Linked DNA regions of Sus scrofa. The protein of the gene in region 1 purifies or fractionates together with the protein of each later gene. This does not show direct contact. Links are inferred from orthologs where the notes say so. Each region holds a gene or a part of one and is shown on either strand. Other genes may lie near its edges. The genes, in order: ARPC2, ARPC5L and ARPC1A.

Region 1 (11,360 bases):
AAGTCAGAGGCCTGTGCCCCAACCAGGAGACTGCATGGAGTGGGAAATATATCACAATTCCGAGACCTGGAACGGTGATAATTCTGGGTATCTGTTATTTACTTTTGTGGTTTAAAATTGTGAGCTAGCGGGGGTTAAGACTGACTTGTCTGGAGAGAAGGATACCATTTAATAGGCCAAAAAGGTAAATGGTTTTCTGTTCTACTGTCTGCTGGAGTTTTGGATGCTGAGAGTGCGTTTCATCACAGAAAAAGCACGTCTTTCAGAGCTGACTCTTCACCTCAAATTCTGTCACTTTCTGGCTAAGTAACCACAGGCAACGGTACTCAAATGTCCGCAAGCCAAAGGTTCCTTTTCTAGAAAACGGAGATTAAAAATATCTACCACACAAGGTTGTTGTGAAGACTAAGTGAGATGCTATGTGGACAGCAAAGTTTCCCAAGAGTCTTGTGACTAAGTTACAGATATGCTGAGATAACAATCCCTACAGCCCTTAGGGCAGCCCATTGGCAGGATCTCTAGACCACTTGCCCAGATGTACCAGACTGAGATGATTATAGCCTGGGTGTGACATATCTTAAACAACGTCAGGAATCAGCAGGGAAGGGTGCCTGCACTCATACAGAGTCTACTCCCTCAGCAACTTCCAAGAGTCCCAGTTTTGCCAACTGTAAATCAGAACTGCTATCTGCTACATAGGCACATTATGAAAGGAAGTGAAACTAAAAGCTTACTGCAAAGTGCACGGTTCTGGAAGGTGATCAATGAATTAGTTTTTCTTTTGGGTGGAGTGAGAGGAGATCAGACTTTGAAGCAGTGGTTGAGAGAGCTTTTGGGATTGTGCTAACCCTCAGAATTAGGTACTGGTCAGCAGAGCAAGGAGAAACAGAACTCTATTAGTGTCAGAATATTGTAATGTCTGGAATCCCAGAATAGGCCAGCTGGTTACTGACTGGACAGCATATGACACTAAAATATATTCAGTTCATTCAGATGGGTTTCAAGAGCCATTCTTAAAATCCTTTAGGAAAAATTCCTTCTATCCTTTTTCTAAGGAAGCTTCTAGAATGTCACTAATCAGTCAATAAAGAACTCCAACTGTTATCCAATCCTCTTTTCTCATTAAGGATTTTGGAGTTTTTACTCCCAAATGCATCCAGGTCCCCATTTGTGCATTTATGTCCCTCTTCTAGTTATTCCTTCCATGTGCAGAATCGGAATTAGAGAAATTATTGAATTCTGCTCATTATCTCACCATAAAGTTTTTGATCACTCTCCTTTAGGTCCTCTCTAGGGCTCCTACCATTCTTTTTGAGTAAAGCCTACAAAAATGGGTCATATTAGGTAAGAAGTGGTCCCACTCCCCAAAAGCTGACTCACCCAATGTCAGAAAAGTGATAATCTCCTAAAGAAACTATGAGCCATTCTACCTGGCTTCATCCATTGCTTCAAGAGAACACTTACTGAGCTGACTAGACACACACCAAGAACGCTGGGGAAACAAAGATGACTAAAATGACAGACCCTGCCCTAAGGAGTCAAAGGTTTGGTGGAGTGTAGCTCTGAGGGGGCTTCGTGCCCAAAGTGGCCCCAGGGAGGTCAGAGGATGGGCAGCAGTGGGTAACTACAGAGACCTGTAAAAAGACCAACCAGGTCATCTCAGCAAGTCAGCCACTATGTTCAATTTCTTCTAAATGCTTGAACAATGTCCTAATTCCAAACCCCTTCAAACCAGTCTGTCTCTCTGAGGACATACGCAGCATATTCGGGAATGAGAACAAGGTATCAGCAAGATTTAATTTATTCCTTTCTCAAATTTCTCCTCCTCCAGTCCTCGCCCACCCCAACTGGCACGGCTTGCTTACCGAGCTTCACTCCCCCTCACAGAACCACAGCGCCCCACAATATGCACAGCTGTGGCAAGGAGCCAGTGTGCACTTAAAATCAACAGCTATTCGAATCTGACAGCATTTCCTCAATTGTAGACTCATAACTCTAGCTACGCTGACAAGCCTAGCTTTGAAGCTGTAAGAGTTCTTGGTGTATACACTAACAAAAGAATTAAATTAATTTCCCAGATTACTTCTGCTTTAATTGGAGGTTGGGGTAAGAATTCCTAAATGAAAAAGCCAAAATACCAAACACTACTAACTAGACCTACACGTGAGGTTATCTGCAGTGTTGAGCATTGCTCAATTAGCCACATTCTCCTAGCTTGGAGGCTGTTGGGAAGACAATTTACCAATAATGATCATTTTGTGAGGATATATAAATCATTCCAATAAGTGTGTGTGGTAGGAAAAAATAAAAGTAATTTGTTTGGAATCTTACTTAAGGCTTTGTTGGAACTGCCTCCAAATTAAAACACTGTCATGACCAAATGCATTCTTAAATAGTTCAGATAACAGAACTACTTTACCCAAAGGAGATTTAGGCTTTTAGTAGGATGTCACAGGCAAGATTCAGCAGGATGATGAGAGGCATCATCTTATTTTCACACTGTACAAACTCCCTTCAGTGCTCGCAGCCCACAGGTAAGGAGGCTGAGCAGTGGTTTGAGGCTGCAGTCTACTCTAGCATGGGTACACTATGATAGGCCCACAGAGACGGACCTACCATAAATCCATTACCATGCTCTGAGAGGTACCATTCAAAAAAAGACCAACTTCAAAAGCAAAATTACTATAACTGTACTCTCAAGTATATACCACAGAACTATTTTTAAGACGATCTCATGCTTACATTTTCAGTAGCTGGAGCAGTGTTATCCAATAGGACTTTCAGCAATAGTGGAAATGCTCTCTATCTGTGCTGCCCAAATACGGCTGCTACTAGCCACACACGGCAACTGAGCCTCGACCTGTGGCTAGTGTAACTGAGGAGCTTAATTTTAATTCACTTCAATTTTTATTTAAACTTAACTACCACACACAGCTGCTGGCTATCATTACTGGACATCACAGAGTTGGAAGGTCCACTGTGGGGAAGGCCACTGTGAATCTAATTTCCCCAACTGATTTGCTGAGAAGTGTAAAGCAGGGAGGGGCTGACCTCTCCCAGCAGGTTCCCAAGCCTTTCCAATCTCCAGGGTTTCTCCTCCAAGCTACTGCCTTTCTTTAATGTCCACCCCAACACTCCTCTGTAACTTTCTTACAGACTCTCTCAGAAAGGCCCCTCTTTTCTGTTCCTGCCTGGTGCTGAGCACTGGCAGAACCCCATAAATGTTTATGATTATCACACCAGATAGCCTTCTCTGGAAGTTCTGGCTAGGCCTGCGCTTTGATAAATACTTAACTACTTCACTGCCGCCTCACCTTACTGGTGGTATGCCTGGAAATTCACATTCCTTCTAGAGGCAGGCTTCTGCTAAAAGGTACATGTGCAATCCCAGGAAAGCCCTGCCTTCGAGGCTGAATATCATGGTCTCTTTCGAAAGATTTTCAAAGTGCTTTCCAGCAGAACATGCTTTGAGCCCACTTATTTAAAATCACATCTCAAAGGGAAGATGGGCCAGAGTAAAAGCCAAAACCTTGCTGCCCTGTTCCACTATTTGACATTGCCACAACATATACTTTGTTAAAAAAAAAAAAGGCCCAGAAATTCTAACTTATCCCTTCCGGACTTGAGTGACTACTTTATTCCTGCTGAAATGATTAGTAAATCTTTTTAAGCGAACTATTCTAAAAGGGAAAAGAGTTGAAGCTCTATAAGGGGCTACATTTCAGAATCACGAGATATTAAAACACAAGTAGATGTGAATATACTCTTACACTACAAGGCATGCTTCTACTTGAAAATGCACAGGGATATATCTTGTAGATCAGCTTATAACCATCCAGGTCTCATTTTTTGCTAGTTTAAACTTGCGAATTAATTCACTTAAGATCATCTGTGAAAATGCAGAAGTTAATTTAACTTCCTCCTATGTGCTACACTGCTCAAAAAAGTACCCAGCAATCACCCAAAATAAGCCACTAAGCTGATTCGCTCAAACATTTAAAATGCAAAGGAACTGGTAAGCAAAGCTGAAGACAAGAAGCAAGCTAACCTAAAATATAAGTAACTGCAGCCCCTGACAGGAAACAGTAGCTACTGCTCACTGCCTATGTTACTTCAAGGAAAGTTGTTCTTTGTTTTATAGATAAAATCTATGGCTTTATAAAAGAGATTAGAAGACACAATATATTCAATTTAAGCAGTTGGTTAAAAGCATTTTTTTTTTCAAAATGCCTCCAAGCCACAAGTTCGTTTTGTCCACTTAGAATTTCCCCTTCACCAATACTCTCCCATCTGTGACTCTTCAAGCACTTACTCTCCTATTCCTAGTTCCCAGTTCGCCAGAAACAGTTTGCACTTACTTCCTCCACTGTGTAACCAAGATGTGAAGCCCCATCCTCAAGGGATGGGGAAATGAGGCAAAGAGACTGGCCGCAGGCCATCCAAAATTAGGAGCTAAAACCAATTCCTTGGTTCATGTTTTAAATATTGTATCAGACAAGCGAACAACTTGGGGGGAGGTCGTCTTTCTACTGGTTCTGCGTTTGACAGAGACGGCTGCCTTAGAAACATCTCCTAAAGCCCATTTTTAAAAGGGCCAATGGTTAAAAACAGGTTTATCTAAGAACGTTACAGGCTCTGAAGGCATTTCAGTGTGTTATCTGGGCCAGAATTACTACAGAAGAAATCACAGGCCAGGGGTATGATACAAGAACTTAAAAAGATAAACAACCAGATAGAGGATACTGGGTGGAGAAAGGAGAATAGAACCTCAGAGGAGTGATAAGGAAGGGGTGTGGATGGGGGGGGTATTAACTTTGCTTGCGAAATGTGACAAAATAGGCAGTGTCTGTTACAGAAGGGTTCGGTGAAGGAAAACTAGAGAGATCGGGTTTTCCGGCTGCAAGACTGGGCCTGCCTTCAGCTTTCCCTCTGGCTCCTTTAGACGAGGAGGTGGGGGTGGGGAGCGAGAAGGCTGGTGGTGATCTGCGCCTCTTCTGGGTACATCTTCTTCACTCTTCCAGTCCTGGGAATCCCTGAAAACTCCTTCCAACCCAATCCCCAATGGGCTCTCTCCGGGTTCTGAACAATGACGGGAGAATACGGTGGGAAGCGGTCCCCTGCTCGCTCCAGAGGGCAATGGGATCCTCCAGCGAGAGTTCCGGTCCAAGCTACCCTCACGTCCCACAGGTCTCTTTGGCACGCGCACTCCTGTCCACTCACTGCTTCCGCATCCTTCCTCTGAGCCTCTCCCCACGCATCTCTGCCCCTCACCCCGCCGCGCCCAACCACCTCCCATGTCTACCCCGCCGGGGCAGTCCCTGCACCCGGCCAGGTCTCCCACCTCCCTACTCCACGTATGACGGTCTGAACGATTGGCAGGGGTCAACTTTGCCTCCCCCGCCACCCACCGGCCCTAGGCGCGCGCTCACCCGGCGGCCGCGTTCTCGAACTTGAGCGCGAGCGTCTCCTCGATGATGCGGTTGTTCACCTCCAGCAGGATCATGGCGGCGGCTGCCCCGGACAGGGGAAGGAGAAACAAGGGCGGGTGAGGGTGGGTAAGGGAGGAAAGGACGGAGGGAGCGGCCCTGCTGCCCCCTGAGGAGGGGGGCTGGGTGGGGAAGGTTAGGGGAGAAGGGGAAAGGGACCAGGGTGGGGGAAAGGGGAAGACGCGCGTGCTAGCCCGCGCACGCACTGACTGTGGAGACACCCACCCACCCGACCGACCTGGCCCCCGAAGCCTGAACCCGCCTGCCGAGCCGCCGCCGCCGCCGCCGCCGCCGCCGCTGCCGCCTCACCGACAAGCTCGGTCCCCGCCCAGCCCCCGGCTCCAGCCGGCCACTTCCGCTCTCACACCCACTTCCGCTCGCCGCCCGGACGCGCGGCCCCGAGGCCCCGCGGCGCCATTTCCGCTCCGACCCCTCGTGCGCGCGCACGCAGGCGCACCAGGTGAAGGGGCGGAGGCCGCGCGTGCGCACGCGCGATGCCGCGACTCTCCACTTTCCCACAGCCCCGCCCTCGGCCCGCTGTTGAAAGTGTGTCTCCCGGCTAGCTGTCATTCCTCGAGGCCTGCCTCGCGGTCCAGCGCTTGCATCCTGCACTCCCGAAGAGTTTACTTCTACGCACGAGGTCCTGTTATTTCTGACAAGAAGCTCACTGTTTTCATTTCCTAGTCGGCGTCTTTACTCTCACTTTGTGGTCGGTGTGATCCTTCCTCATGCCACACTAATGGCTGTCCAGTGGCACCATCGTGCCTTAATTTGCTCAGCAAATGTTAAGTGGGCTCCTGTTCTGTGCTGGGGATACAGTGACGCCTGAAACAGATGAGGTTCCGCCCTCGTGGAGCTTATAGTCTGGCAAAGGAAACAGACAACAAACTTTCAGATATGTAACTACAAATCGGTTAAAAGAGCAAAGAAGGAAAGGAATGAGACGTCACCAAAGTGAATAAGCCTCCCTGGGTTCCTCTCTTGTCTCCCTTTCTGTGCCTGGAGATGCCTCTAGGTGCCCCAAACGTGATTTTTTTCTGCCTTACCTCCCAGCACCTCTGCCAGAGACATAATTTTTTACTCATCTGTGTGAGGAAAATGAACTCATTTTTGTGTTGCGTCTGCCTGTGTGCCTGGTTTTGTACTTTTCCTTCTCCAGGGAGAATCTAACAAATTTAGCTGAGCTCTTTTTAGGAGTATTGATTTATTTTCTGCTAAGTGTTCTTAAGAAAGTATCAGGGAGGCAAAAATTGACAAAAACTAGCTCTTGTCATCAGGCCCAGACAGCTCTTCAAAATGAATTTATTTACTGGACATGGATAAACTTCAAGACATTGCAAATACCCCCAAATTATTTGCTAACTCTCTTTTTTTCTGTTTAGGGGTGCTCCTGCTTTCTTTTCCAATTCAGAAGACTCAAGTCATATTTTCCATCCACTTAGTAGAGACCTTCTATAGAGCTTCCTTTCTGCTTTCCTTCATTCCTCTTTTTCTTCTTCTTTTTTCTTTCTTTCTTTCTTTTTTTTCTTGATTTTTAGGGCCACACCTGCTGCTTATGGAGGTTCCCAGGCTAGGGGTCCAATCGGAGCTACAGCCGCCCTCCTACGCCATGGGCATAGCAACTCAGGATTCAAGAGCAGTGTCTGTGACCTAGACCACAGCTCATGGCAACATCAGATCTTAACCCACTGAGTGGGGCCAGGGATTGAACCTGCATCCTCATGGATCCTAGTCAGGTTCGTTAACCGCTGAGCCACGAAGGGAACTCCCTCTATTTTTTTAATGGCCACACCTGTGGCAAATTGGAGTTGCAGCTGCCTGCCTGTGCTACAGCCACAACAATGCCAGATCTGAGCCTCATAGGCGACCTATGCTGCACTTGTGGCAACACTGGATCCTTAACCCACTGAGTAAGGCCAGGGATTGAACTCATAGCCTCATGGATGCTAGTTGGGTTCTTAATCTGCTGATCTGCAATGGAAACGCCTATGCTAACGTTTTAACATTGTTTATTGAACGAAATAATGCAGATACATTACTAAAAGTATATGCAGACTACATATACTATAAAGACTTGTAATGGAAGAAGGAGTTCCCTGGCCTACTCTTTAGCGGCAATAGCCTCAACTCTTTTATATGTTCATCCAGATTAGATCCACATATCTAAATAAATGCTTACGCTACTAATTCTTGATTTGTTAATTTTAAAGATTATTTGTTGGCTTCCTATCATGATAGATAAGAACATGACTATCACTTCTGTTCTCCACCTCCACTGTTATGTAACAATTTTTAGTTAAACCAATAATCAGGGAGTTCTGTCGTGGCGCAGTGGTTAATGAACCTGACTAGGAACCATGAGGTTGCAGGTTCAATCCCTGCTCTTTCTCAGTGGGTTAAGGATCCGGCGTTGCTGTGAGCTGTGGTGTAGGCTGCAGATGCGGCTCAGATCCCACGTTGCTGTGGCTCTGGCGTAGGCTGGCGGCTACAGCTACTATTGGACCCTCAGCCTGGGAACCTCCATATGCCGCAGGAGCGGCCCTAGAAAAGGCAAAAAGACAAAAAAACAAAAACAAAAACAAAACAAAAAACCCCCCAATAATCAGTATTTAGGGAGTTCCCATTGTAGTGCAGTGGGGATGAATCCGACTAGGAACCATGAGGTTGCAGGTTCGATCCCTGGCCTTGCTCAGTGGGTTAAGGATCCAGTGTTGCTGTGAACTGTGGTGTAGGTCGAAGATGCAGCTCAGATCTAGTGTTGCTGTGGCTGTGGCTTAGGCCGGTGTCTGCAGCTCTGATTTGACCCCTTGCCTGGGAACCTCCATATGCCACGGGTACAGCCCTAAAAAGCAAAACAAAAACAAACAAACCAGCATTTAAATTATGTATAATTTAAATCTGCATATACACATACATATTAAATTATGTATATTTAAATTATGTATAATCAGCATTTAAATTATGTATGCAAACATTGTTTGCCAGTGAGCCAATAGGTGCCCTACAACCATGCCTTCTAGCTTATACAGACTTCCATTAAAAAAAAAATTAGTTGATATACAATGTTGTGCTAATTTCTGCTGTACAACAGTGACTCAGTTATATATGTGCATATATATATATATATTCTTTTTTAATATTTCCTTCCATTATGTTTTATCCCAGGAAATTAGATATAGTTCCACTTCATTATTTTTCTTTTCTTTTTATGGCTGCATCTGAGGCATGTGGATGTTTCCGGGCTAGGGGTCGAATTGGAGCTGCTGGCCTATACTACAGACACATCAACTCTGGATCTGAGCCACATCTGCAACGTATACGGCAGGTTGCGTCAATGCCGGATCCTTAACCCACTGAGCGAGGCCAGGAATTGAACCCACCTCACGGACACCATGTCAGGTTCTTAGCCTGTTGACCAAAAGGGAAACTCCTCCCTTCATTTTTCTTAAAGGTTCATTATTGCCTTTTTTCCTCACTTGTCAATTTTCTATATTATCTACAGTTAGCTGCCTCCACCCCTGCAAGTGCTCTAAGACTGTCCAAGAGTTGGGCAATATTTTCCATATACTCAAATGCATACGTTCCATTTTTTCTCTAGAATCGTTGTCTCAGAGCCTCCTTCCTCCTGTTTCAATCCGGACTGACTACTCCCTACACTTGCTGTATAGTTGCCACTCTGGAATTTTCCTTCATTGCTGTTCTGGGCTGGTTTTGCCCATTTCCTGGATCCCATGCCTTCCTCTTCCTTGATTTACTTCCTTGTTTTGCTAAAGCACCTCTAGTAACTTTGTAAGGAAGAGAGATAGGGGATATGCTGTTGGATCACTGTACATTTTAAAACATCTTAGTTTTATTCTAACACGATTTGTAGTTGGATTTATAGTTGGGCTGGTTTTTGAATTCAAGTTTGAAAATAATTTTCCATCATAATTTTAAAGGTGTTATTAGTTTTCTTCTACCTTCCCGGGTTACTATTGTAAAAATTCTGATTCCTATTCATATTCCTGATCCTTTGTACGTTATATCTTCTCCATTTCTGAAAGCATTAGGATTTTCTCTTTAGGCTATTGGTTGGAAATTTTATAATGATGTGCTTTGTTGTGACTCTTTGGAGGAAATTTTCTTTGATTATTTCCTTTGTAATTTCCATTTTCTTTGTTCTTTCTGGAATGTCTGTTATTTAGAAGTTAGAATTCTGGATTGACCTTTTCATTTTTTTCTTCTATTTTCTGTTTCTTTGGGTTTGTTTGTTTGATTTTTATTTTTAATTGTGGTAAATATACGTAACATGAAATTTATCATCTCACCCTTTTTTTTTTTCCTGTCTTTTGTCTTTTTAGGGCCGCACCCGCGGCATATGGAGGTTCCCAGGCTAGGGGCCTAATTGGAGCTGTAGCTGCTGGCCTACACCAGAGCCACAGCAACTCGGGATCTGAGCTGTGTTTGCAACCTACACCACAGCTCACAGCAGCGCCGGATCCTTATCTCACTGAGTGAGGCCAGGGATCGAACCAGAAACCTCGTGGTTCCTAGTCGGATGCACTTCCGCTGTGCCATGACGGGAACTCCCATCTCATATTTTTAAAAGTACAGTTTAGTAGTGTTAAGTTTATTCATATTGTAATGCAACCAAAAACTCTTTTCATTTTGCAAAACTGAACCTATACTCATTGTTTGTTTGCTTTTGTGTGTGTGTATGTGTTCTATTTTTCTGAGATATTGCCTTGTCATTATCATCACCATTTTAAGTTTCAACTTTCTTATTTTTAATTTCCAAGACTTTTTTTTTGGGGGGGTGGGGTTAAGGCTGCACTTGCGTCATATGGAAGTTCCCAGGCAAAGGGTCATATTGGAGCTGTAGCTGCTGGTCTACTCCATAGCCACAGCAACTTGGGATCTGAGCTTCATCTACAATCTACACTACAGCTTGCAGCAACGCTGGATCCTTAATCCAATGAGTGAGGCCAGGGATTGAACCCGCATCCTCATGGACACTGTGTCAGGTTCTTAACCCACTGAGCCACAGTGGAAACTCCCTTCCCAAGACCTTTCCCACACACACCCCAACTCCCTTTCCAGTGTTATTCTGTCTGTATTTTATGGACAGGAATATGTTCTCTCTGAGGAGAAGATATAATGTGCTTGTTTTAGTTTTTCTTCAGCTCTTTGCTTTGATCAATTTCTTTGGGGTTTTGTTTTAATGCTACTTTATTTTGGTCTCTCTTGTTTATGTTAATGGCTATCTTCAAAAGTCTGGCCACTTTATAAAGTCAGACAGAGATAGACAAATATCTATGAAATCGCTAATATGTGGAATTGAACAGAATGTTACAGGGAACTTGTTAACGAAACAGAATCAGAGTCAAAGATTTTGAAACCAAATTTATGTTTCCAAAGGGAAAACAGTGGAGGGAGGGATAAAATGGGAAGTCAGGATTGACATATGCACACTACTATATATGGAATGGATGAGTAACAAGGATCTACTGTGTAGTACAGGGAAATCAACGCACTGTAGTGACCTGTACAAGAAAAGAATCTGGAAAAGAATGGCTCTATGTGTGTGTGTGTGTATATATATATATATATATATATATATATATATATATAACTGATTCACATTGCTGTATGCCTAAAATATGTACACAATATTGTAAATCAGGTATACTCTAATAAAATTTAATTTAAAAAAGCTCTGGCTATTTTAGCAGCCTGTTCATAGTTAGGGATGATATTCCAAAGAGCTGAGTGGATACTGAGTGTATGGGCAAGATGAGTTGTTGAGTATCTCGCTACTCAAAAGGGACTAGCCGCATTGGCTCCATCTGCAAGCAAGACAGAGTCTCAGGTCCCCACCATAAGCTACAGATTTAT
Region 2 (9,987 bases), on another chromosome or scaffold:
TGTCAGTGTTGCTGAACTTTTCACAAGAGGAGGAGAACATGCTCAAAGAAACCCTGGAGTATAAGGTAGGGTTTCCTGGTCTGCTGTCCGCCTTCCAAAACCTGTAGCCAGTCATCCCAGCCCTGGCAAGTGAGACCGGCCCACAGCGGCATCATTAGCTAGCTGGGAAGGTGCTTTTGGATGATGAACTTGACTTGGGCAGTATTTACGGAGGACATGCTTTGGGCCCACAGGTCTGTACTGCAGTTGACCCCCAGGCCTTATGTTTTCCAGGGCACTTGGGTATCCTTTCATCAGCAGCCCCAAGTCTGGCCAGCACCCAGACTTTTAAAAACTTGAAAAATATGCAGAAAGTATCTGCATAAATGCTATAGTCGGAAAAATGTTTAAGGAAGAATTACCCACATTCTTGTCAACTCAGTTTTTTTCCCCTTGTTTCCCTCCCATATTTAGTCCTGCACACTGGTTACAGCCATCATCGTCACAGCTCTGATGGCAGCCAGAGTCAGGCTGCACGGAGGGCAGGAGGGGGGCGGCCCAAGGATGAGGAGAGGGTCTGTCGGCTTCCTCTCTACCTAGTCCTGATTCCCATCTCAGGAGCCTTTTCTGTTTCAAACACAGATGTCATGGTTTGGGTCCAAGCCAGCTCCCAAGGGCAGCATCCGGCCATCCATCTCCAGCCCCCGGATACCGTGGTCCTAGGCGGAACTACCCAAGGATGGAGCTCCAAGGGCTGACACTTTTTCTGTGAAAAGAACACTGACACACCAGTCTGGGTGGGTTTTTAATCACTGTAACTGCAGTATTTTGTACAAGCATCTAAACATTGTTTACAAGACTTAAGGCCCACTTCCCTGCAGACTGATAGGAACTTCGGGAGGTAGCTGATCCTGTTATTCTGGTCACCACACGGGAGGGACCTGACACTACCCACATCTCCGCAGTGCTGCTAAAACCCCAGCTCTGGCCAGCACCCATCTGCACCTGAGTCCTCTTTCAATGTTAGCACTTAAAGCTGAAGCCATCAGCATGTCAGAGGGAAGGCGGCTGCTGCATTGGGTAGTGGCGATGCTGGACAAAGACAGCCCTTCCAAACAATGCCCAGCAGGCCAAACCCACCTGCTTCTGCCACGAAGCGCCAACGTGGTGGGGCTGGCTTTTAAAAACTCCCCTTCCCTGTTAGGATGTTTGGGTTCGGATGAGTTTAAGAGGTTTTTTAATCCTTTCTCTCTGGGAAACGTTATTCCACCTTGTTTCTCAAACCACCTAGAACTTTAGATGTGTCCATCTCTAAGGTATTCTGGGGCCATGTGAATTAATGAATATGCACCTTTATGACCGTATCTCATTTTACTGAAGAAAACTAGCAAATATGTAAGAAGATCCTTAGTACCAAATACACTCAATTGCCTTTTTAATGAATGTGTCTTGGATAGGTTGCTGGTAAACCATTTTAAACTATTTTTTATAGCTCAAGCTATTATAAACACGTCCTCTGTACTATAAAATCCATCTGACTGGTGTTCTTAAAGGAAAATGAGAGCATCGAGAGGAAATTCTTTCTGAGATTGGGACCCCGTCCCTTTGTGACGCCACTAGCAATCTGTGGCATCTGTTTCCCTCTGAGGCAGTGGTGGTGTTTCGTTTGCTTATTTGCTCTCATTTCTGTGTTGTAACACTGAGCAGATGCTGATCACAAGTTTTCTACTACTAAGGACAGTCCACTGTATTCAGAAAAGCAGCAGCTGTCCCTACCCTCGTCCCCGGCCTTGACCAAAACATAGGAGGCAGTCTGCCTTGTGTGTGGAGCCACCATCCCTCCCAGTCGTCCTTCCCCCACATAATTTAAGAGGACACTACAGTGACGTATGGTGTCCAGACAGCCTCCAGCTGCAGTACTGGAGAGCACGCAGATGGCTCTGAAGTGACTGATGAAAACTCTGTTCATTATCATTAAAGAAAAGGGAACATGCTTGCCCTAGATAAGCCACAATATTGAGTCTAAAGGGAAATCATATATTGATGGAATAGTCTGATGAAAGTTCTACTGGTTAAATAAAAAACTGCATTAATAACTGGAGCTCCTAACTTTACTATCAGTTATCCAATGATGTAAAATTATGTTTAGGGTTAAGATACAAAGTATTTCTCACAGAAAAACAAGGATTTGCAGTTAACCTGTAACATGCCACGGACCTAGAAGCACCACGCAAGGGCAGCATTACCCTTGTCCCAGCTGGGGCTCTGCCATCCAAGGGACCCGCTCTCCATTACCTACCTCCTCCTGTGGCTCCCCCTGCAGGTGTCTGATCCTTGTCTAGGATGCTTTTTCCATTTATCTGGTGGGGACACCAAACAGGAGTCCCTTCTGTTCCGTTAACTTTGATGAGTAAGAGTTAGCTGTTCCAGGAAAGACTCCCAAAGTTTGGGTAGTTCAGGGCTTGCCAGAGGCAACAAGAGTATAGCCACAGGAGCCCCACTCGGCTCCTCTGTGGCCTCTGCAGCTGGTCTCACCCCCACCCACGTACACGGCGGTTTTATGCGTGGTCATGGGGTCCATGCCTCAGTCTGTACTTGCACAGGGAGGGTTCATTCTGATTAGGCTTTCCTCCTGCATGTTGAAGTTCTGTCAGCTTTAAGAGGAGAGTGGAGTAAATATTCTAAGTGATGTCATGCACTTTCACTTGTATAAAACATTCTGTGATAGAGACAGTATGCATCGCCCTTTATATGAGCATTGGATCTTGATCTTGGCCTCCATGTTGTAAATAGGGATTGTATTATCTAAAACTGCTGTAGAGAATTCACTTGTGGTGCAATACACTTTTTGATTAAAGCTCTTCCATCCAGATGCAGTGGGTTTTACTTGATACAGTTTGGTGTTTCAGTGTTTCTTTGACTGGTTAAATTTAGCACATTGTGTCTCGGATTCAGAACTTAAAGGGCTGTAGGGGCTGTGGAACATGTCTTTCAGAAAGAGCCTCCCCCGACTGGATCTGGCTGAATAAACTTTATATTTAGTTTAATGAAGCCGGCAGCCTAGTGTTCCCTCCCAGGAAGGGTAGGGGGTCCTGCAGAGGAGCCGGGAGGATTGTCACTGTGGTCAACATCCATCTCAAGGCCCGCATGATGGGGTTGAGCTTTAGAAATGTGAATGGGGTCCTTAGCTTTAATTGAATGCAAAGTGTAGTCACATGTGCTAAAAAGGAAAGAAAAGCACCTCTGCTCTTCAGAGGGGCTTATTGTTAGTGGTTACAGGGAACAAAATGTTCCTATTATATCTGTAGGCTGATTGCTACCTGTCTCTGGCTCTTAATCCTTTGAAGAAAATTCCTTAGAGTTCTCATGTGGCTCAGTGGTAGCGAACCTGACTAGAATCCACGCGTACACGGTTTTGATACCCGGCCTTGCTCAGCAGGTTAAGGATCCAGCGTTGCCGTGAGTTGTGGTGCAGGTCAGACATGGCTCGGATCTCGCGTTGCTATGGCTTGTAGCTGTGGAGTAGGCCAGCAGTTATAGCTCTGATTCAACCCCATAGCCTGGGAACTTCCATATGCTGCGGGTTCGGCCCTACGAAGACAAAATAAACCAAAAAAACTCAACATCGCAGTGTTCCTGCCAAACAGCTGAACCCAGCGTCAGGACATGGTGCCTGGGCCCTTCTGAGCCCTGAACTCTCAAGAGTCCAAGTGCAGCCACACAAACTGAAGACTTTGAAAGTTTAGGTCAATTATTGAATGTCTGGCCCTTTATTAAACTCCAAAATGACATACAGATCAAATGAGTAAAAGGAATAGTTATTCAGCAAAACATCTCTCTGTAGCAGCAAAACATGTCTGCAGTTCAGGCCTGAGGTACTATGGTGGCTGGACTGCCACACTCCCTCCCTAGGGTGGTCAGCAGGGACACACGTCTGCCCCTCCACATCCAGTGCCCAGGACAGGCAACCTCGCATTCACTACCATCTCATTCATTACTCTTTTTTTTTTTTTTTTTCTTAATATACACTAAACACACCACAGAGTTATATACTAATAAGCCAAGAGCTTTATTGATGCAGCAGGCACTTTACAATGAACCCAAGAGAGCCCGCCTTCTCTGGGAGGATGGGCTGTCTGTACAAACCCTCGGGGGTTTTCCACTTCAAAAAACCAAGCTCTCCCTTTACCGCAGCCCTTGGATCTGCACCTGCCCAAATCATCCCTCCCCTGTTTTTAACAGGCAGTGCACACAGGTACACCTGACCGACCAATGATGGCCAGCCACTCTGGCAGACAGTCACAATGTCAGTTCTGCATTACTCGCGGACAAAGGCATAGACTATCAGATCCTGCAAAGGATTTAGGAAACAGTAAGACGATTTCTCCCTCCACCTTGAAAATAAAATACACTTCAGCGGATGCATGTCCTGAAATTGTTTAGTTGGGAGTTGCTAGGAAGATGGCCGATTGTCAATCCCTTCTTCGCCAGCCTGTGCATCCAAAATTCTTCTCAAGGTAACATGAGTCTTTTTTGTTTGTTTGTTTTTGTTTTAAACAGTCTTTCTTGCTGTAAGAACTCTTATAATGGAGCCTAGTCCTCCTACTGCTAATGCCTGTGGGGGCAGGAAAAGAAAGGTGTCAAATGAGACCTGGTTGGCCAAGGGGAGCCTAACTTAGCAGGGGAGATGGGACCGTGCACTCCCAACATGCAGCAGACCCTCTGAAAAAGGATTCCTGGGCGAGGACAGTTAGGAGGTGCCAGCGGGGCCCACGTCCTATGGACAGAGCCCTGTCCTGGAACCAAGGGCCCCCAAGAGCTGCTAGCTGTTGAGGCAGCAGAACTGGGCCTGAGAACATTGTTACCAACATACAGAGCCCTCCAGTTTCCCTCTGACAAGCTGATGGTGACCAGCCCACAGGCGCAGCCGGAAGTGCTTAGACAGACACTAGCCCATTAAGAGCTGAAATGTCAGCAAGGCTGAGCACCAAGCTGCTTTACTTTAAAAGGGGCAGAGGGCTTGCCCAGTTCCCCTGAGCACCATGGTCACCCTGAGCCACTGAGCCTAGGAGCCCACTTTCCAGAGCGGGCAGGACACACCCACCAGCAAGACGGAAGTCCACACCCCAGCCCAGCCCTGAGGCTGCCCAAGCGACTGACCCCTCAGTGAGGGCCACGCCCTTAAAATTCAACAGAGCCTTTTAGGAAGGCATTTGAGTTGGTACTAGCCGGGTCCCCTTTAATGACAGGCAGGCTTCCTGGAGCTCTACAGGGCAGAGGACAGTGGCACACAGGCAGGACACAGGCTTGATGAAAGGCCTTGCTTTTGTACTGACCCCAGCCAAGGTCAGGCACAGCTTTTCCTGCATCAGGTGGATGAAGGTCCTGCTGAGCGACTGCCAAGCTTTCTGGTACTGCCCGCTCCGGCCTGGGGAGGCTGAGGCCGGAGCAGGAAGCCCTCAGAGCTAACCAGAGGATGCAGCCCTGCATCTAAGACCCACAACTACCACCTCAACCAACCCACAGAAAGTATTACAGAGCGCCAGCCACCAGCAAGCCTGCCTGCCTGCCTCTCACATGGACTCCCTGGCTACCTGACCACGCCGAGTCACCCACCCCATGCCTGCCTGGCGTAAACCAGCTGCTACGGCAATGGCGACTCTCAGAGACAGCAGACCCCCTACCACGTACTTCCGTGGGAGAGGTAAGTGCTCAGATGTCCCAGGTTGCTTGAGGCATGGCCCCTTCCTCTCACATGCCTCTGAGACTCTCCTACGTTTGTTTTGGATAACCTGGTCTGCTGATGTGAACCCCGGGGTTGGGATGAGTCGGTGGGCTGCCTGAGCAGGCCATGGGTTCACATACCTTTTCATGCCACTGGAGTAACACTGCGCTGCTGTTTTCTGTGGGCTTCTCAAACCCTTTATAAATGTACTTCATTAGCAAGTCGATGCCATTTCTGTCCAGTGACTGCACAGCCTGCTCAATTTCGCTGCTCTTAAAATTTGTAAGCACTTTCAGCACCACACCCTGGGCCCGTTCCTACAGAGGAAAGAGAGCGGGGAGGGAGGCTCAGAGCCATGGCCCAGGCATAGCCACGTCCCGCAATGCAGGCTCAGAAACACCAAACCAAGTAGTCAGAACTCATTAGAAACACTGCCCAATTTCTAACTCATCTGGAATGGTTAAAAAAATAACTAGGCTGAAATTGTTTTATTCATTTAAATTTCCAAGTATCCCAAAGTATTCAAAGCCAATAATTTTTTTATTCCACTTACTTGACGGGGAAATAAGTGGTTTACTGGGGGAGGCATCACCACTTTTTTTTAGCTGCACCCACAACACACAAGAGTTCCCAGACCAGGGATCGAACCCATGCCACAGCAGCAACCCAACAAGCCACAGCAGTGACAATTCTGGAATCTTAACCCATAGCCCCACGTGGGAACTCCCAAGCATCATTATTTTTGATGGCACCAGCAAGGCCTTAAGCACTATAAGATCATAACTGTGGAGATCTAGATTTAAAAAAACAAACAGGAGTTCCCGTCGTGGCGCAGTGGTTAACGAATCCGACTAGGAACCATGAGGTTGCGGGTTCGGTCCCTGCCCTTGCTCAGTGGGTTAAGGATCCGGCGTTGCCGTGAGCTGTGGTGTAGGTCGCAGACGCGGCTCGGATCCCTGTTGCTGTGGCTCTGGTGTAGGCCAGGGGCTACAGCTCCGATTGGACCCCTAACCTGGGAACCTCCATATGCCATGGGAGCGGCCCAAAGAAATAGCAAAAAGACAAAAAAAAAAAAATAAAAATAAAAAAAAACAAACAAAAACACGTTTACTTGGCTGCAGCTTCCCTCTCGTTCACCCCAGGGTAACAAAGGGGCCATTCTGCTCCAGGTTTGAGAGGTGCAGCAATTGGTTACATCAAGATGCCATCACAGGGAGTTCCCGTCCTGGCTCAGAGGAAATGAATCTGACTAGTATCCATGAGGATGTAGTTTTGATCCCTGGCCTTGCTCAGTGGGTTAAGGATCCAGCGTTGCTGTGTGCTGTGGTGTAGGGTGCAGATGCCACTCGGATCCATGTTGCTGTGGCTATGGTTTAGGCCAGCAGCTACAGCTCCGATTTGACCCATAGCCTGGGATGGCAGACTCCATATGCTGTGGGTGCAGCCCGAAAAAGATGAAAAGTAAGTAAGTAAATAAATATCTTAAAAGCTTTTTTTTTTTTTTAAAAAAAAGAGGCCATCACAAGATGGTGGAATTCCAGCTTCAGAGAGACCCCTGGGAGTTCCCATTGTGGCTCAGCAGTAATGAACCCAACTAGTATCCATGAGGATGTGGCCTTGCTCAGTGGGTTAAGGATTCAGTGTTGCTGTGAGCTATGGTGTAGGCCAGCAGCTATAGCTCCAATTCGAACCCTAGCCTGGGAAGTTCCATATGCCACAGGTGCAACCCTAAAAAGACAAAAAAAGAGACCCCTTTCTCTGAACCAAATTTTAGATAGTCTCAGCAATGAGATTTTAGATGGCCTAAGTTCTGCAGTCTGCACAGCTATATCGTCTGCCTAGTTTTTAAGAGGCAGATCATAAAAGCACTAAAAACCCTTTTGCAAATAAAGCCTATTCAATAGCTTATAAAAGCACTGCTACGTCCCACATGGCAAGCTAATTTATAGTTTTGTTCATCAGGAAGGGCTGGGCTGACTTCTCACCCCATGAGGGCCTGGTTCGGAAGTGAACGTTTCTTTGGGGAAACACTGACAGCTCTGGTACAGGAGCACCAGGAGGCTTTCGTGGAAACACTGCCCAGTGCCAATGCACTCTCCTAGCAGATACTCGCTGGTGCAGTGATGAAACAGACGCTGTCCAGAGCCCCAGCGAGTTCACACTGGACAACCACAGCCCTGGTCCCAACACCACCCAACAAGAGCTGCAGCTCGACCCAGTTTACCTTCACAGCTTGATTCTTGGTGTTGACGGGGGAGTTCCGTAAGGCTGCGTGAAATGCCCGAAGCATGTCCCCTGTGCATCTCCAGTTAAGGATGGCTATGCTCTAGCATGTCCATGCTTTTATTAATGAACTCATGTCAAAAAGAACTTGAGAGTCAAATGGCATCTTATCCACATCCACCCACCTCCCCCTGCAGCTTCCAAGCAGGCACAGCTTGATTAGAGGGTCACCTGCAGCTCTCCTGAGCCACACGGAGGGCGGAAGGGGTATTTCTACCAACCCTGCAAGCCCTCCTGCCACCCCTAAACCTTCCCCTTCAAAGCCAGTGTGGACACACACACAAGCATGCACTCTCTGGAAGGTAGCAGCAAAGCAACTGCCCCCTTGGGGAAATTTGCACAAAATCTGACTGAGCTGGATTGCACCTGCTCGGCACCAGCCACCATAAGTGCCCTACTAGACCCTCGTGATCACTGTGTGAAGTTACCATTCTCATCCTCTCTTCTTAAAAGGGAAGAATGAAGGCACAAACGGAAGTCTCCTAACTCTTAATCCAATGTTTGTCTCAGGTAAACTACTGAAGAAATTAAGATGTGCTAAAACTTTTATCTTCCAAGACCTATCCAGGCCAGTGGGGTCCCAACTGAGGGGTATTTAATAACCTAGAAGAGCCTTCTGCCAACAAAACGAACCAATCCCCCCCTACACACACATTTCCCAAACCTTAGTTGGAGTCCTGACACATGCTTTGCTGAGCTTAGAATACCCAGCACACAAAAGAAAATTACAATCTGGGTTAGGTCCCCAAAGGTGACACCTATTTTAAACTGAATTACATCAGCTGACTTTCATTTCCTCATCTGAAACACTGGCTTCAGCCAAAAGGCTTCAAAAATAGAACAAGAAATGGCTTCTACCCAATCGGGGTCTCTCCTCCTCTTCCTGCAGCGATACCCACGTGTGAACAGACAGCCTCCCTAGCAAAGCTGAGTCCCTGGTCTTCCCTAGTGAGGCCTCCATCTTGACTGAGCCGGGTCCATACAGCCAGGGAGCCACCCCTGCGGGCTCCCTAGCACCCTGCTGGGCTCTGACCTACCTTCCAATTTGAGGCAGCCCACTCTCCCACACCCCCCATATCTGTCAGCTTTGGAATTCCTTTTTCCCAGCCAGGTGAGGGCCAGCCTGATACCAGCCACTTATAACTTCTACCTCAGAACTCTTTTCTAATTTGGCATCCCAGAGCAATGAGCAGAGTCCCAGAGCCTTAAGAGGAAACGTGGGCTGGCACTCTTCACTAACCAGCATGGCTGGGAAACAAAATATTTCAGAAGATGAATGGATAAGGGTAGGATAACCAGTCCAGGGGGCAAAAAGAGTCACTGCTCTAGAGTTAATCTCGCTGTGGTGCCTGTCTACCAAGCATTCACTGCAGGTGTTGACAGGCAGGGCCACCAGCGGCTGAGGGGTCTGGGGAGCGAGGAGGGGCCTACCATTTATCAAGCCGGCCTCCAGACTCAGCACCTAGTCACCTGTAGATCAGGGTTTCTCAACCACAGCACTGCTGACATTTTAGACCAGATGACTGATGTAGGGTCTACCCTGTGCATCATACAATTTACCAGCATCCCTGGCCTCTCTGCACTGGATCCCAGTAGCACCCCCCAAGTTGTAACGATCAAAATATGTCCAAAAATAGACAAATTTCTTTAGGGGGAGGAGAGTGCAAAATCACTCAAAACCACTGCTCTTGCCAGATTCCCGCTCCAAGGGACCAAAAGGTACCTCAGCAAGCAAGAAAAGGATCTAGTGCTTAAAAATCCCTACAAGGGCTCAGAGCCTGTGCCCAGGTGTTTTCACATGTAATCTCATCCCTGCTAACAGTTCTTTGTGACAAGAGTGATTATTCTGATTTTAAAGGCAATGAATCTGAGGCTCAAAGAAGGAAAATGACCTGCCCAGGGTCACAAAGCTAAGCTGTCCAGGTGGCCTTCAAACCCAAGTATGCCTGATTCCAAAGCCAAGCTCTTTCTACAACCTCTGGCTGCCACGCCACGCACAG
Region 3 (9,765 bases), on another chromosome or scaffold:
TTCTGCATCTGCAAAGTGAGCAGCACTGCCCGCCCACCGCCCACCTCACAGGCCTGCAGTCCCAGTGGGAAGACCAATAATACATGGGAAACACACCTCAAACTGGGAAGCCTTGGGGGTGTATTTGCAGCGGCTCCCTGGGGGGACAGTTTTCTAAGCCTGAAGTGGAACAAGTGCTCGCGTGAGGAGAACCTGGGGGTGGAGGGATTTCATCTGGAGTTCCGAGAACAGCTCCGAGCTTTCTGTTTCTTCCTGGAATCTGCCTCCCCCGGTGCCCTGGGAAGATGCTGAGCTCTCCCTGCGCTTCGGCCTTCTCAGCTGTCCCGGGAAGGCAGGCTGACGCCTCCAGGCTGGGGCTGGCCAACGGGAGGCCCAGCCGGAGGGGCGGTGCCAGGTTGGGTCTCTGGGGTCGTCAAGGTTCCTTCTGACGCTCCGCTCCTTCCTGCCCCCTGCACTGGCCTTACTGCCTGCTGGGCACAAGATGGCAGCCTAGCTCCAGGCGTCTGGATGCAGGAGGCGGAGGGCTGGCCAAGGCCGTGGGAGGCCAGGGACAAAGACCTTTCCCAGAAGCGCCCAGCCCCGATTGCTGACCATGGGTCTCTCTCAGAGATCGAAGACCTGCCCCCCCCGTACCCATGAGAAAGAGGGGAGACCCTGGGCCTCTTGCCCAAGGCCACACATGCATGTGAGGTGGCAGAAGCCTCGGAGGGCAGAGATTGGCCACGGAGGCACAGAGACGCCCACCATGCCTTGCCAGGGGCCCAGTCTGGGCAGGTCTGATGGGCAGCACATGGCTCAGCTGAAAACTGCCCCCCGCCCCCAAGGCATCACCAGGGGGTCCCCTCCTGGTTCCAATGACATCACCCTGCTCCTGAGTGTGGTGACGACCAGGCTGGGTCCCAGGGCCTCTCCCCTCCCTGCCCTTGCAGCAGGGAGCGTGCTTGGCAGCTTCCCCTGGCGCTCTGGACAGACCGCTGAGGTTCCAATTCAGGCTTTGTCGTCTCTAGAAAGGGCAATTTCGGTTGCAACCGTGCAGTGCTGTGAGGAGCGCACATACCTCTGCGCAGCTCCCCTCATGCCCGGCCCAGCAGCCTTCCTCAGCGGCCCCCCCCCGCCCCCAGGCTCTCCCTGGATGGCTCTTTTGACCTTGACCCCCCCAGATAGACAGCCTGGGCCACAGGCCCGTGTATGTCTGAAACCAAACTGACTACGTGCATCACAGAATGTTGCTTTCTCCTGTTTCCGTGGCCACCGTGACTTTACAACCTATCAGTGGGCTCGGCCCCTCAGCTTGAGAAACTCCAAGCTCCAGGCTGTGCTTCGTGCCCTTGGCTGAGCTGACCTCGTGGGTTCGTTTCCTGCCGCTGCTGCTGGAGCAACTTACCATAGACGGGGTGGCTTGAGACCACACCAGTGTCTCCTATGGCTCTGGAGGTCAGAGGCCCCCAGCTGGTCTCAGAGGCAGGGGGCTGTTCCTGCTGGGGACTCCGGGGAGAATCAGCTCTGTCCTTCCAGCTCTCGGAGGCCCGTGGCCGTCTCAGGCTCCAGCCTGTGATTCAGCCTCCTCATGGCCTCAGACGCTGCCCCGCCTGCCTCCCGCCTGGAAGGAGCCTTGTGGGTACGTGGGGCCCACCTGGATGTTCGAGGCGCAGGAGCTGTAAGTTAATCCCATCTGCAAAGCGCACAGGTTCTGGAGATTCGCGCATGGCCGTCTTCGGGGGCCAGGAGTCTACCTGCCCCACCTGGCGTTTAAATCACACACACAACGCAAATAACTTGATCATTTATACGCCTGTCGGTGCTGTTCCATGTGGAGTGACACTGTTCCCTCAGCGACACTGCAGACGCTGAGGGAACCCTCGACTTTCACGTCACTGCCTCAGGCGGCACATGTGAGAGTGAAACCTCCAACCACCTCTGTGAACGGAGGGGTCATGTCTGAGCAATTAATCCTGGTTCTGAGGCTGAGCCCAGCTTTCCCACTAGAATATTCTCGAAAAAAATTTGTTGTTGTTGTTTTGGTTAGCAGAATCCTTCATACTATTTCGCTCTGTTATCAAGGGTCTCCAGGGCCTGGTATGGGGCAAAGCCAAGCCTGCACGCAAACCTCAGCTTTTCTGAGGAACAGGAGCTCTCCCTTTATTATTGCCATTTTACAGGTGAAGACACTGAGCTCACAGATGTTAATTATATTGCTGATGGTCACACAGCTCGGCAGAACTACAATCCGACACCAAAGCTTCCAACAAGCGCTTTGGGCGGTGTGTTCTGGCACAGTCAGGGGCTGCCTGGAACCCTTCAAATTGGGAGTCGCTGTGGACGGAGGTCTGGTCTGAGTCTCACAGGCAGGGTGAGAAGAGATGGGACCTTCCAGTGTCAGACGCCAGCACTGCGGCACAGCCCCGAGGGTTTCTGGCTGACACGTCGGGATGGGCCTTCTTCTGCAGGTGTGACACAGACCTAGTTAAAAAAAGATGAAAGATGAGACTCCGCCTCAAGTTTTGGAGGCCAAGGTAGTCATTTATTGTTTCTTTCATGGAATGCATTGTTTCTCTAACAACCTCTGGGCTTTCTCGCCAAACCATGCGATCTCATGAAACTCAAAAGCACTTGGTAGCACATTCCTGCCACTCGGCCGGCTTCTGTCTACCCTCGCTCTGCGACGACAGCCTTGCCGACGCACTGGCACAAACACACGCGCACAGGAGCTCCTGCCATCGGCGGCCACAGAGGATGCTCCAGCAAACGGGGAGGGAGAGGCAGGTGTGAGGAGGTGCGATTCTCTTCTGGCGGAAGTAGTGCGTCCCACGGGCCAGCGAATGGGCAAGACTGCTCTTTGGAGAAGCCCTGTCGCCAGCGAGCTGAGTTCAGGTCCCGGCTCCACTTCCGGGCACACTGCCAAGTTCAAGGCTACACTGTATTCCTGTTCCTCCCCAGCCACTTACTTTTGAGCTGGAGTCTCAGCCTTGAAATGTCAAACTTCGTGTCTAATTCTGATGAAGATAACTCCGTTCGGGCACAATCATCTCTAAGCTCAAACGACAACTTCTGTCTTTCCTCTCCCCCTGCACACGCCTGGTCCGCGCCCACCAAGGGCACAGGGCAGAGGCCTGGCTGCTGAGCAGAGGGGGGCTTCCTCTGTGCCTGTACCCAAGCTGGGAACAGTGTACCTCCCTCTCCTGCAGAAGTCCTGCCAGGCTAAGAGAGAGCATTCCAGAAGTGGTTCTCTGTGTTCAAGGTTGCACAAGACGGCTCAATTTAAGAAACTAAGCATCTAAGATTCTACCCTAAAAACTACCTAGGCTAACAAAGAATTTACACATATATTCGTATGAAAAATGCAAACAATATAAGGAAGCAAAACCAAAAACATATTCAGTGTTTTTATTTAAGTTTTTAGCAGACAATTTACATACCTCCCCCCTTCCTTTAAGTTAGTGTGACAATTTTCCATAATAAACTACTTGAAAAGAAGCTTTGGTCAAGAATGGAATGAAACAGCAAAACAAAAAAAAACAGAAAACAAAACCCAAATCACTGCTGCTTTTAAAAAAACCAACACTTGCACCAATTATACTCAAACAAAACACACGACAATGGCTCGCCACACGCGTCTTCAGTGTTTCTGGCGGCCGGCTCTCCTCCCATCCTGCGAACGGCGGCGCTGCCCCCGCGCAGCTGCCCGTCCTCGTGCTGGATCTGGGAGGCTCGCTCGGCTTCACATTATCCGAAGGCCCTGGATAGAAGACTCTAAGGTCTGGAGAGCGACAGGAAGCACAGCGTCATTACTGAGCACCCTCCATCCTGGGGTCCCCCCACCCCACTATACCAGCCCCGGCTCCCCGGCGAGGTCCCCCTCCCCTCGGACTCTCTCCCTCCCGGGACACGGCGCCCCCTGCTGGCCCTGTGCTCCCTCGTCCCCGTGGCGCAGCCCACAGGCCCTGGGCACACTCCTGTTCTCAGGGCACGTGTGGACTTAGCAACCCTAGATGCCCCGATGGCAGGCGCGCCTATGGTTTCTGCGGACCACATGCAGCCAGCCTGGGCGCTCCACACGGCTGGTGCCCCGAGGTGAGCCGAGAGAAAAATGCACCGGGACCTCCAAGGACCTGGCCTGTCAAAGACTAAAGGGCCGAGCACTAACTGCCCAGGTGGAGCCAACCACACAGGTGGCGATGCCCAGGATGTAAAGCGGCCGAAGGTAAAAGGGCGGGGAGGGACTTGCAGAGGCAGAAACGTCAAACAACGTGGAACCGCAGAGGCAGTGGCAAACTTCTGTTAAGTGTTTAACTTCTGGAGGTGAAACCCGCAGAGCTGCACACAGGAGCTGGGCCCGCTCCTCCTCCTCCTCCCTGGCGCCTTCTCTTGCCTGCCATCTGCCCAATCCCGAGGCTGGAGGGTGCAGAGTCCTTTGGCATCTGGCCCTCACTGTCACACACCCCAAATCTCTCTAGTCCAGAACCTCCTGGCCACACTGCCTTCTCCCAGCTGCAGCTCCAGGTTCCGCAGGCCCTGTGCACAGCCCCGAGAACTGGGTGCCTGAGGGCAGCGCGCCCTCCTGGCTGCTCCCTCCAGCCTCGGGATTGGGCGGGTGGTGGGCAAGCTAAGGATGCAGCTCAGGTACGGTCTCCTCCCTGCGGCGCTGGCAGTCCCTGTGCCAAAGCCCCACCCAGTTCCTCGGCGCGGAAAGAGGCAGTGGCTTTTCTTCTGCGCTCCATCCAGCCCCCCCTGCCCCCAGGGCTCCTTCATCTCAGCATCCTCCATGCCCAGCACCACGCCTGGCACCCAGCAGGCAGCGAGCGAGCATTTATTAGATTAACTAGTGTCAATGGTAAAACAGATCCAGAGAGTTAAACTAGACGGGCGCCCGGCACAGGGCCTGGGACAAACAGCAGCGCTCGGCTGTTCGCAATGACAAATGGACTTCCAGGAGCCTGGAGTCCATCGCATCGAGAGAGCACCGTTTTCTCCCGCTACAACTTGCAGGTGTTGAAAAGCCCAGGGCGCTGCCCTCTGACGCGCACGGATTTGACGGCTGGTTCCAAGAAATGACACACAGCCCTCTCACAGCAAGAGTTTTAACACAAACAAGATTTGTTCTGAAAGGTGGAAGATACCTTGAAATCCCAAATTGTCATGGCTCCGTCAATGCCAGTAGTGCAAAATTTGCGACAATCTTGCTTGTCCACCTCATAAATAGACACTTGCCTGAAAAAAAGCAAAAACAGGGGAGACCGTAAGGTCTGTGGCGGAAGTGAGCGCAGCAGCACTGGCAGGAAACGAAATGCCCATCAGCTCCTGTAAGGTGCCCATCGGAAGGAGTCTGCGGCCCTCTGACCCTGAAACTATTCAAGGGCATTTTATGACCACGTGTCCGGAAAAGAAAGAGGCTGAGAAGAGGGAAAAGTTAAGACCCTCGTTAATTAGAGGGACGGGGAGAAGCAGGACCCTTCAGGCTAGAGTGGAGCAGGGAGTGGGCAGGAGCACAGCTCTGACGGAAACGGAAACCAATTCTGAAACAATAAACCAGAGGCAGGAGGAGGCATGACTGAAATCCAACTGGCTCCAAACAAAAACTCCCACATCGCCCTCTGAGGCGGCCCGGGCTTAGGAGCCAAGCGCTCTCCCCGCACTTGAATCATTATAAATATCAGGGACATCCAGACACGCCGCAAAATTCCAACCGAGCGAAGCAAAGCAGAGGAGCATCTTAATGAAACAGCTTCGCTTATTAGTCTCAGTGTGTGAGAAACTTTCAAGAAAACCAGTTCCACAGCTTAGATAATATGTCTTTCGCCTCTGAAATGTCTAGAACATTCCCTCTGGGGAAGGGGATGGCACACTTCACCTGTTTTTGTACAATCTATGTGAGCTAAAAAATGACTTTTACGGTTTGTGGTTTTTTTTGGATTGTAGTAGATTTACCATGTTGTGCCAATTTCTGCTGTACAGCACAGGGACCCGGTCATGATAAATATACATTCTTTTTAAAGAATATTATTTTCCATCATGCTCTGTGCCAGGAGACTGCATAAGAGTTCCCCGTGAATACAGCAGGGTCTCACAGCCTAACCATTCTAAATTTCTCAATCTAACAGTCGGCTTCTGCTAACCCCAAACTCCCATCCATCCCACTCCCCCTGACGTTTACAGTTTTAAATGGTTGGAAAAAAATCAAAAGATTACTATTTAATTATGTGAAAATTATGTGAAATTCACACTTCAGTGTCCATAAAGTTTTTTGTTTTTTTGTTTTTTTTTTGCTATTTCTTGGGCCGCTCCTGCGGCATATGGAGGTTAGGGGTCGAATTGGAGCTGTAGCCACCGGCCTACACCAAAGCCACAGCAACGCGGGATCCGAGCCGCAACTGCGACCCACACCACAGCTCATGGCAATGTCGGATCCTTAAACCACTGAGCAAGGCCAGGGACCGAACCCGCAACCTCATGGGTCCTAGTTGGATTCGTTAACCACTGCGCCACGACGGGAACTCCCCATAACGTTTTTTTTTTTTTTTTTTTTTTTGCTTTTTAGAGCCGCAGCCACGGCATATGAAGGTTCCCAGGCCGGGGGGGGGGTCTAATCAGAGCTACAGCAATGCCAGATCCGAGCCTGTCTGTGGCGTGTTACACCACAGTTTACGGCAACACCGGATCCTTAACCCACTGAGTGAGGCCAGGGATCGAACCCGCAACCTCCTGGTTCCTAGTCAGATTCGTTTCTGCTGCACCATGACAGGAACTCCAAGTTTTGTATTTTTGTCTTTTTGCCTTTTCTAGGGTTGCTCCCATGGCATATGGAGGTTCCTAGGCTAGGGGTCAAATCAGCTGTAGCTGCCGGCCTACACCACAGCCTCAGCAATGCAGGATCCAAGCCGTGACTGCGACCCACACCACAGCTCACGGCAACGCTAGATCCTCAACCCACTGAGCGAGGCCTGGGATCGAACCCATAACCTCATGGTTCTGAGTCGGGTTCATTTCTGCTGTGCCATGATGGGAACTCCAAGTGTCCATAAAGTTTTACTGAAACACATTCATGCTCATTTATCTCCACACTGCCCACAGCAGCCTGTGGCCACGATGGCAGAGCTGAGTACCTGTGATGGAGATTGTATGGCCACTCAGAGCAAATTTATACTCTCTGGTTCCTTAGAGAAAGTCTGCTGACCTTGTTCCAGGATTTAATATCTGCAAATAAAGTAGTCATGCCAATATGCAAAGGTGTTTTTATTTTTAATCTAGAAGTCTCAAGAGGCAATGAGAGCTGTTTCCTTCCAGATAGTTGGCAGAGAAACTTAAGAGAAATTCACAGGAGTTCCCAAGGTGGCACAGCAGAAACAACTCTGACTAGGAATCATGAGGTTGCAGGTTTGATCCCTGGCCCTGCTCAGTGGGTTAAGGATCCGGTGTTGTCGTGAGCTATGGTGTAGGTTGCAGACGAGGCTCAGATCTGACGTTGCTGTGGCTGTGGCGTAGGCCGGCAGCTGTAACTCCGATTAGACCCCTAGCCTGGGAACCTCCATATACTGCAGGTGCAGCCCTAAAAAGCATAAATAAATAAATAAATAAATAAATAAATAAATAAATAAAATGAAAAAGAAATTCACAGAAATTAATTTTGAAAATCACTCCAGGAGTTCCCGTCGTGGCGCAGTGGTTAGCAAATCCGACTAGGAACACAGGTTGTGGGTTCGGTCCCTGCCCTTGCTCAGTGGTTTAAGGATCCGGCGTTGCCATGAGCTGTGGTGTGGGTTGCAGACGCGGCTCGGATCCCGCGTTGCTGTGCCTCTGGTGTAGGCCGGTGGCTATAGCTCCGATTCGACCCCTAGCCTGGGAACCTCCATATGCCGCGGGAGAGGCCCAAGAAATAGCAAAAAGACAAAAAAAAAAAAAAAAAAAAAGAAAATCACTCCAGACAGAGAAACTTGAAAAGTGTGGAGCAAAGTTCTGCTCTGCCTTCAAATGACTACTTATCGTACAGTATAGACATTTCCAGCCTCTTTTAAGCCCAGTGGCCCTTCCCACTGGACACGACGGAAAGCATGAGCTGCGCAGCAGAAAAGAAAGATGAACATCACATGATATCATTTAAAGGTGGAATCCAACATACAGCACAAGTGGAGCTCCCACCGTGGCTCAGTGCTAAGGAACCCACTTAGTATCTATGAGGATGTGGGTTTGATCCTCGGCCCCGCTCGGTGGGTTGCTGTGGGCTGTGGTGTAGGTCACAGATGTGGCTTGGATCTGGGGTTGCTGTGGCTGTGGGGTAGGGTGGTAGCTGCAGCTCCAATTCAAGCCCTAGCCTGGGAACTTCCATATGCTGCAGGTGCGGCCCTAAAAAGACATACACACAAAAAGGCCTAAACGAACCTATCTGAGAAACAGAGAACAGACTTGTCGTCGCCAAGGGAGATGGAAGGACTAGATGGAAGGAGTTTTGGGGTTAGCAGAGGCAAGCCAGTATACATAGGATACACGACGGATCCTACTGCAGAGCACAGGGAATGATATTCAACACCCTGTGATAAACCACAATGGAAAAGAATGTGAGAAAGAATGTATACACGCGTAACTGAGTCACTCTGCTGTACAACAGAAATGAACATGTGCAAATGGTCTCTACTTCAATAAAACTTAAAAAAACTGAAAAAAAATTTGAAAAAGACGTACAATTTGCACTTAATAGTTCTCTCAAAGAGAACGTCTAGAGGGTTCCGTTACTCTTCCCCTGAACATCACCCCAGTAAAAGTCAACGCAAAAGGTTCGTCAGAGAGAAAAATCCTATCATACCCAACTCTGAACACAATAATTGAAAATATCAAGATTACATCGCATTTCTCTTCTAGATGTAAGAGAAGAAAAATGAAGCTTTTTGGACAAAACACAATTTTACAGTCTCATTTAATCACATAAACCTGATGAAAAATAAGTCAAGACGCTCCTCAGCTTTGTCATCACGGTGCTGGGAAATGGGTCTAATTAGATGATCTCCTCACTTGTACACGTTATTTATTTATTTATTTTTTTGTCTTTTTGCCATTTCTAGGGGTGCTCCTGTGGCATTTGGAGATTCCCAGGCTAGGGGTCGAATCGGAGCTGTAGCTGCCGGCCTACACCACAGCCACGGCAACAGGGGATCCGAACCGCCTCTGCGACCTACACCACAGCTCACCGCAATGCCGGATCCTTACCCACTGAGCAAGGCCAGGGATCAAACCCACAACCTCATGGTTCCTAGTGGGATCTGCTAACCACTGAGCCACCACGGGAACTCCTTGTACACATTATTTGAAATCCAGGTTGAAATGACAGTTCGAACCACCTTTTTGGACAGGACATACCTCACCCTCCTGTCAAGTGCTCTCTCCTAGAGGAACCTGACTTTCAGGAGGGCCTCTCATTCTCGGTCAAGCTTCTGAGCAAGCGAGACCCAGGCAGAGGCCGCCTGATAGGCCACAGGAGGCTCTGCACTCCACGCCCCGGGAGGGACTGACTCCCTGCGACAGGCGGAAAACGAGAGGCGGCAGTCGGGCAGCTACGGACCTCTCGCCGCTCCTGTTGCCGAAGGGACGCCTGGGCCCACGGGACAGGACACAGAGAGGGGAGAGGGCACCCCGCCACCTACGTGATGCTGTTCTGGTGCAGCGTCTCCAGGGCCGTGTTGCGGTCCTCGGTCGTGGCCCGCTTGTCCATGTTGCGGAAGCGCTCCATGGCGGACAGGTTGCGCTGGATGCTCTGTTTCGGAAGGTCGAGCTTGGAGA

Evidence for each region.
Region 2: the proteins of ARPC2 (region 1) and ARPC5L fractionate together in Homo sapiens (co-fractionation; 7 studies listed by BioGRID and IntAct, with this or other methods). This does not show direct contact. The link is inferred for Sus scrofa from reciprocal best matches to the Homo sapiens genes ARPC2 and ARPC5L.
Region 3: the proteins of ARPC2 (region 1) and ARPC1A purify together in Homo sapiens (affinity purification with mass spectrometry; 8 studies listed by BioGRID and IntAct, counting the BioPlex papers as one, with this or other methods). This does not show direct contact. The link is inferred for Sus scrofa from reciprocal best matches to the Homo sapiens genes ARPC2 and ARPC1A.

The regions. Positions count from the first base shown.
Region 1 is NC_010457.5:120,291,545-120,302,904, reverse strand, and holds the start of ARPC2 (actin-related protein 2/3 complex subunit 2), read right to left. Parts: upstream 5,784-11,360; 5' UTR 5,725-5,783; intron 5,512-5,724; 5' UTR 5,504-5,511; coding exon 5,430-5,503; intron 1-5,429. UniProt on the Homo sapiens protein: Actin-binding component of the Arp2/3 complex, a multiprotein complex that mediates actin polymerization upon stimulation by nucleation-promoting factor (NPF).
Region 2 is NC_010443.5:265,648,058-265,658,044, reverse strand, and holds the end of ARPC5L (actin-related protein 2/3 complex subunit 5-like protein), read right to left. Parts: intron 8,002-9,987; coding exon 7,929-8,001; intron 6,022-7,928; coding exon 5,845-6,021; intron 4,595-5,844; coding exon 4,532-4,594; downstream 1-4,531. Other genes in the region: GOLGA1 (golgin subfamily A member 1), read left to right, coding at 1-65, 622-702. UniProt on the Homo sapiens protein: May function as component of the Arp2/3 complex which is involved in regulation of actin polymerization and together with an activating nucleation-promoting factor (NPF) mediates the formation of branched actin networks.
Region 3 is NC_010445.4:6,318,130-6,327,894, reverse strand, and holds the end of ARPC1A (actin-related protein 2/3 complex subunit 1A), read right to left. Parts: coding exon 9,630-9,765; intron 5,209-9,629; coding exon 5,118-5,208; intron 3,758-5,117; coding exon 3,719-3,757; 3' UTR 3,369-3,718; downstream 1-3,368. UniProt on the Homo sapiens protein: Probably functions as a component of the Arp2/3 complex which is involved in regulation of actin polymerization and together with an activating nucleation-promoting factor (NPF) mediates the formation of branched actin networks.